Arabidopsis thaliana: one gene and its partner. The protein of the gene in region 1 interacts with the protein of each later gene in a pairwise test. Each region holds a gene or a part of one and is shown on either strand. Other genes may lie near its edges.

Evidence for each region. Proteins that work in one complex are often made in the same cells at the same time.
Region 2: the proteins of AT1G33760 (region 1) and LBD25 interact in a two-hybrid assay, tested with the Arabidopsis thaliana proteins (one large-scale study listed by BioGRID).

What each region holds. Positions count from the first base shown.
Region 1 is NC_003070.9:12,235,880-12,239,273, reverse strand, and holds AT1G33760 (Integrase-type DNA-binding superfamily protein), read right to left. Parts: upstream 1,728-3,394; 5' UTR 1,331-1,727; coding exon 776-1,330; 3' UTR 564-775; downstream 1-563. Other genes in the region: AT1G33750 (Terpenoid cyclases/Protein prenyltransferases superfamily protein), read right to left, coding at 2,926-3,394.
Region 2 is NC_003074.8:10,236,621-10,241,178, reverse strand, and holds LBD25 (LOB domain-containing protein 25), read right to left. Parts: upstream 2,666-4,558; 5' UTR 2,449-2,665; coding exon 2,365-2,448; intron 1,229-2,364; coding exon 833-1,228; 3' UTR 531-832; downstream 1-530.

The DNA.
Region 1 (3,394 bases):
AGAGTCAAATTCATGCTTTTACATTATGATCTAATTAAAACTTTAATTTATAATTTCACGCAATTAGGCCTAACAGAAAACTGAACGTATGGGACAATTAAAACATTTCATACTAATATAATATTGACTGCAACAGTTGTTATTGATACTGATTATAGTATATCTTTAGGTAATCAAAGCTTTTCAACGGACTCATGCTCACTATAATATGGAATAAACCTGTACTTTTGAGGCGGCCATAGTACGAATTGGTACGTGCACGTCAGCTCGTGTGTATATATTATGGGTTATATGTGTCTACATAATGGACTTTCATCAAATAATTTTGTTTTTAATAAACCATAGGAGTTTCAGGTTTTTGGTCTATAATCTTACCTATTTTTCGGAGTTAGTCTTATTCCAATTTAACGAATACCACAACGAAAACCGAAGACGAAGCACAAGGTAACCACCCTTTTTTCTAAGTTTTTATAAGATAACATTTTTTTTTCTTGGATTGAGTTTTTTCCTTGGTTTATATTTATTTCTCGTATAAACCATATGATACTATCTGACTGACAAGGAACCAAAACATTACATATATATTGAAAATTTGAATTAATCATATTGGTATTTATGACATCATCATTGTTAAGAGATTACAAATTGAACCCAAGAAAAACAGTAAGGGTCGAAAATTTATTATACTTTACTGAATATAATCGAAAAACCTTGGTTGATGATATGACATTATTAAAAAAAAAATCAAATGGTTAAGCAATTAAGCGAACGTATATCAATTATTAGAATTCCATATGGACTGAAATTGCTGCATTTCAAAAAACTCATCCCTATCGTGCTGACCAAAAAATTGTCCGTATAATTCTTCGTAGTCAGCAACTTCCAAATCCTGCATCCACCCCATCCTCGGCGAGTCTAATGGAGACTCATTAATCGCTTGAATCTGATCCGGAGACAATCCTACTCGAGAAAGTCCTTGACCAGACTCGAGAGCTGGTTCACTCAACCTACCTGGTTTAAACATAAGTGCTGCATCTTGTGCAGCCGCTTGAATGTGCTCCGAACTAGAGCTTTCCGGCCGAGGAAAACTGTCGACGAGTTCCGGAAAGTTGAGATTGGTCCCACGTCCTCGGAGGTGAAGAGCCGCAGCATCGTAGGCCGCTGCAGCCATCTCGGCCGTCTCGTAGCTTCCAAGCCAAATCCTTGTTTTCTTACCGGGTTCTCGGATCTCCGATACCCATTTGCCCCATTTCCTCCGACGAATGCCTCTGTAGGACAACTGGTTAACGTTGAAGCGGTAATCTCGTTGGCCAACGTAAGTGTTTTCCATAATTAATACAAGGTTATTTTAGTAGCACTATATTGTGTGTGTGTGTGTTTGTGAGTGTATATAGAACTGTGCGAATTAGTTTAGAAGTTTTGAGTTATAGAGTCAGTGGTTAAGTGAAATTGTATATATAGAGAAATAAAGAAGACAATAAATGAGGGAATAGAATTTGTGGATGGCTTGTTTGGTTTCAGGTGAAGTGAGCTTCCTACGTAGTTACTTGTGAAGTGGAAATATGCTGTCATGCATGCATGGGTCTCTATTACTTACATGGATATTGTACATTAGCAAAGCTGTCTTTAAGCGTGTACAAATAGTGTGTTGTGTGTATTTGAAAGAAAACGCTGATTGAATATTATTTTTTTGATTGAAGACAAGTTTGATATTTATATGATTTGGGTTCTAAATTTTTTTAGAAATATTTTTTTACACATCAAATATGTTTTCAGTAAAAACTTTGTACATGCCTTCCAAGAAAATTGACATGGCCTTGATAAATATATTTCATATTTGGTATATTCTGGGCCTTAGTTAGATTATAGATATTTAACTTGATCAAAAAGTTCAAAATATTTAAACTTTTCAACTAGGAAATAGATTTCATAGTTCATACTGAGATAAATTAGTGTTTCATATAAAAGATCAATTATTTTAAGTCAAAGTAGTATATTGTGTTTTGTTGTTGTAAGACCAAATGAAAAGAAAAGCAATTAGTCCTTTATATCATGTGTTGGTTAGAACTTTAGGTTCTCGTACAAAAGTCCATATATGCCATATCTCAAGAGTCTTGACAGCAAATATGATAGTAACATTATGTAACTGCCCATAGAGTCATAGACAATTAAGTTGACCAAAATAATGAATTGTTCATAACGAAGAATTGGGGAAAGAAACCCATCTAAATTAACCAAAATTTGATTTTATGAAATTCTAAAACCCGACCAGCAGAAGATCGATGCTCTGTCTCCAAATAATTTCTTGATGTGTAGTAAAACCTCATGAGCCAAATTCCAACCCTAAATAGTTAAATGGCTGCATAATGGTCACCACCGCCACTAAGGCACTAACAACCACACCGTATCGAATTGTGGAAATCCGTACGGTCCATCCGGTGGTCAAAAAAATACTTTCAGTCTTAATCTCACCGCCCATTATATATTGTTGCTTATCTACAAGATTTGGATCCTACATAAGAACTCAACAAGTATAACAAAGTTTTGCTTTCCAGTCTATTTTTTGAACTTATACGTTCCTTGGTTCAAGAACTCATGTGTGTAATTTAATATTATTTGCAAAGAAACATAATTAAGAATTGAATAGTTTAACGTATATAAACATGAATTAAGAATTGAATAGTATAACGTATATAAACATGAATTATGATATTATTTCATTCTTTTGGTCAACTTTCCTTGTCGTTGTGGGTAGTGAAAGTTATAAAAAAAACTTCTATGCAAAATAAATTAAAATAGTAAAAACTAATTGAAACCCCAGGAATTAAAATTTAATGGAAAAATATGTGCATAGAGCAAATTAACAATCATCAATAATAATGGAAAGAGAAATGTAGATGAATTTTTCGGCAAGGAGCCAAGTCTTCAAAGCGGAAGAGGATGGAAGAACAAAGATGTGATGAGATCTTTGAGCTTGCCATTGGGATTGGTGAAATTATCACCCTCCTCGTAATACAGATTGACCAATCGTACAATGTTGAAGCACCGGACCAGAATCGGACGTGACACACTTTTTATCGTCAAGAACTCTTCCATCATTATCTTGTAATTATCTCTAATCATCTTCTTAATTTCTCGAACCGCCAATTCCTTGGTAACATTATGTTGCTTAACGTAACAGTTCACCCCATTAACCACTTCTCCTCTCCTCATCTCCTCCTCGAAGCCGGCTATGTCGTTTGTAAGACGAAATATAACACTTAAAGCTCGTAACATTTTGGGTTTGGATTTGAACCACGCGTTCGTTTGATTCTCCTCACAATCTTCCATCGATATAAAGCTGTACATTGCAAAGCATCTAATCCCTGACGAGTCAAGCCCAAGCTCAATATAG
Region 2 (4,558 bases), on another chromosome or scaffold:
TTGTTATTTTCTTCTTTTGACAAGATTAGTTGATTTGTATGTAAATATATGTGGTTGTTAGTTCGCCCCAAATGACATAAAATTATAAAAGGACCGACTTTAAAAAGAGATTCCCTATGAAGACATGTGCCTAAATTAAAGCTACAAAATTTTGGTGTTTCTAAATTGATTAATTTATTTAAACTTTTTTCAAGTCGACAAATATATAAAATCACTCAATTAACTTAAAATATTAGCAACTTTGTGTTTCTGACCAGTGACTAGTGTGTGTAATCAAACAACCAATTATTAGCCTACATTCCTATGAGTCTATACAAAACCGTCGACATGAAATTTTATTCTTTTGAATATCATAATACAATAGTAATATTGCAATCACAATTCGTTGAATGCAACTTTATAAAATGCTAGAAAATCTGTCATTAATCAATGAAATATGTGTACATACATAATTTAGAACATAAATCTTTTAGCAGAAACTAAAAAACTTGTGAATAATGACCAATGGGCCACATGTAAATCAGTGGAGCTAGATCAAGTTAAAGAGAGTTATGGAGATATGAGCATGAGCAAGATCTAGTTATTCAACATCATCAAAAATATTCCTTGACCTCTCCCATGAAAAAAAAATTACAAGTTAAATTACACATACGCATAAGTATATACATGAAAATAAACATAAATATACATGCATGCATGTCCCCATATTTACACATATATACATACGACTAATAACACTTACCATCACATCAACCATCCTCTCTCTCTTTATACTTCTCCGCCGCTAATTTTCTCAAAGAGTGATGATGACTAATCAACTCTCGTTGACCAGTCAACCCCTCCGACCACCATAAGCCGACGTCGTTTCACCACCGAGACAACCAGCGTACCTCATGAGATCAGCATTTGTCTCCTCGAGTTCCCTTTGCAACCTCAAGACCTGTCTTTGGAGCACCGAGATCGCTCCAACGCAGCCATACACTGGATCTTTAAGTCGTGCTTCCGCCTCGTAAGCCAGCGAGTTGACCGCATCTTCCCGCTGATGGGGAGCCACTTCGTGGAGGATCTTGCTCACATTGCTTGCCCCGAATATCCGGTGGACGTTCGCAAACTTTGTAGGTTCCTCCGGCGGAAAATAGGGTGCGAATACGCAGTCTGACGTGCATTTACGCCGGAGGAATTTGCATGCTGCACACGGTGAGTTTGTGTAGTTCGACATATATATCCCCTGATTTTTCAGTTGCAAAAAAATGGCAAAAACGATTTAATCACATCATAGTATCTTATTAGTAATTCTCGAAACTACAGTATAAGATTGATATGAATTTTGATCCATATCGATCGATATTGTAATTCTCTGGAGTCTCTTCTTCTTCTATATACATCAATTATCAATATCTTATCAACAATATGTCTACGTACACTTTTTAAAAATTGATACAGTTTCAAATGTTTTATTTCCATTTTGAATTTGGTAACTAGCAAAGTAGCAATAAAATGGTATCATCATCAATACAATATAACTTACAAGACGTATGATGTTCTTAGTCTTTTAATCCTCAAAATTCATTATATTCTACGTAAAATGGTAACTAGAAATAATAGTCTCATCATCAATATAACTTAGAAGACGTATGATGCATGTTCCTATCTTATTATCCTTAAAATTCATTATTCATAGTGTTCTTTCTGCGTCAAAAAGATGTTATACCACCTAAATTTATATTTCAAATATATCTCAAACAAATATATACATCCTTGTCTAATGAATTAATTTTACATAATTATAAAATCTTGGGAAATTGAGAATAATCCATACTAAAAAGTTATTGGTGAATCTAACACACAAGACGATTATGGGAAATTATATAAACTTGTGTAACATTACACATTAAAATGTAAACGTCCATATGATATTCATAGTAATATGAAGAAAATGGGTGTCGGAAATTCGAATTACTCACACAGGTTTTACGTTTTAGAGCTAGTATTAGTTCTAAACAAACAAACAACATGTTCTCATCAAAGCACTCTCTGTCTCTCTGACTCTGAGTTCCCCACATGTACTACATATTAGTTTGAATCTTGAATTTATGACCGAGTTTTATTACCTGCTATATAGGATACTTTCACTGTATATTAGAAGTCCCGAATTCCTGATTTCACTTTCAATTGTAACTTCTTCTTTCTTTTGTAAAGAAAAAAGGTCGTCCAAATTATAACTTGGTAGTTCAAGACCAGTGATCAAATTTTCATGATCTAAACTCTCTAAATTTATATAATCAATCAACATATATAGAAAGTATATATATTATGCAAGTGTGAGTGAATTGGCTGTACAGAATGAAAAACTCTTGGTCTTACCTTTAAATGGATCGCAACAAGAAAAGGTCCTTCCTTGATAACTTCTTGAGAAGGTTTGATCTTCTTTGTTTCTCTCTTGGGCATTAATTATAAGAAAGGAGAATGAAAAATCTTCAAGTAGATTTTGCAATTATTGGGATATTTTTGTTGTTTTCAGAGAGGAAACCCTAGTTTGAGAGAAAGAGGAATCTCTCTAAGGGGAAAGTTAGAGAGATAAAGAGGAGACATGGGTTGGATATAGAGAGAGAGGGGCAAAAGGCATTTTTGGTGCGATGAGAAAGAGAAAGAAGATGAATATAATGAGATTACAAAAAGACAAATTGGCCTCAATTAATTGAGGACCTAAAATAGTGAACTTAAGAAAGAATAACTCTGACCGTGGCAAATTTTACTCCATTCAATTGCTTTTAGTAAATAACTAAATATACAACATATTTTCTATCTTATTTTTAATTTTGACAGCATAACGTATTTTCTATTAAATTTTAAAAAACTAATTTATAATTTTTGTCAACTAATTTATTAAAAAGAAAAAAATTAAACGAGCCATTAGTATATAATATTGTTTATATATGTGATATGATACGGTTCAGTAAGTATGTAAAATATAAAAGCGATAATTTGTCATGAAAAAATACTCTTTTATTATGTAACTTAAGAATATATGAGATAATTTAACAATGAAAGAAAATCAAATGATAGTAAACCAATACTTTCATGTATTTAAATTAAGGTACAGCCATATACCCTCAGGAGTCCGAACCATTTTATAAAGAAACTAATGATAAACCTTAATTAGTAAGCTATTAGTATTATTTATTTAAAACTAATGATAAACCTTAATTAGTAAGCTATTAGTATTATTTATTTACCTTTGACCTTTCCACGTTTTATTATTCCGTAAAAAAAAAATGTTTGTGAAGTCTTTGGACCACTTAAATATATTGTTTAAACTAAATTTCAGAAAGTTTTGGGATACAAACTTACAAGAACATCAGAACTATTGAGGATCTGAGCAAATCCGACATGTGTACTGTCATTTTGCTTGATTGAATTTAACTGTTAACGTCTTGATTTTACTGTTTACATTTCTGAAAAATAGTTATTAACTTTTACGTTCTTTTAATTAGTTGATGTGTTCATTCAAAAAATTTGACATACCCTGATGGTTGAGCCACATGCTTGAATCCAAAAAAAAAAAAAAGTTTCTATAGTGCATAACAAAGAAAAGAAAAAACTGTAATCAATTTCTATTTAAAATTATACCGTCATTTTCAACGAATATAGATACCATTCACAAAAAAGGTTGTTGTTTGTTGGATAACTCTTGTGGTTGTATTATAGATCTTATATTTCCTATAATTAAAATATTTAGCGACTTAGCATAGTATTGGTCAGCTACAACTTTAATCATCCAACGAAATTAAGACCTAAAAGATATACCAAACAAAGTAGTTGATATATAATTATATATCCTTTCTAATCCAAGTGCACTTACAAAATTAAAATGATATATATAAGTGATGATGATACCAAGGCATTATTGTTTCCATAAACATATATATGCTTCATATTCCATATAAGTGCAATATTTGGTAGCAAGTGCGTATATAGATTATACCAATGATTAGATAAGATAATCAATCATTGGCAAGCATTATTTTACGTATTTCTTGTAACGATACTTTACGTATTTCCTGATTAGATTTCAGTGTATACAGATATGCTTCATATAGTATGTGTACAAAGAAAGTATAAAAATAATAGAAAATTGAAAGAAAAAGTGAAGAAAATATGAAAAGAGAAGGACCAATTCAGATCGGAAAAGAAGAAGCACTTGAATACGCATGCATACAAATATCCCTATACGGCTATACATAAATATATAAGATCAGGCCTGGCGAATGAAAATGTATGTCTCTTATCGTGTATATAAAATAAGCTAATGTGGGTCGACCAAAAAAAGCCAAGACGTCCAAGAAACGAAGAAGCCAAGATAGTGTGTGTGCTAATTAATTATGTATCCATTTTAGAAGAATTCATGTATATGCATAATGCATCATGTATGTATCATGCATGCACCTAGAAGTCCTATAACTAGAAGTCGGTATACTTTAATTATCAATTGGACAATTGGGATAACAAAACCTGGTAAGTTCTCTATATACATATATAAACTTTATAAATAAATAAA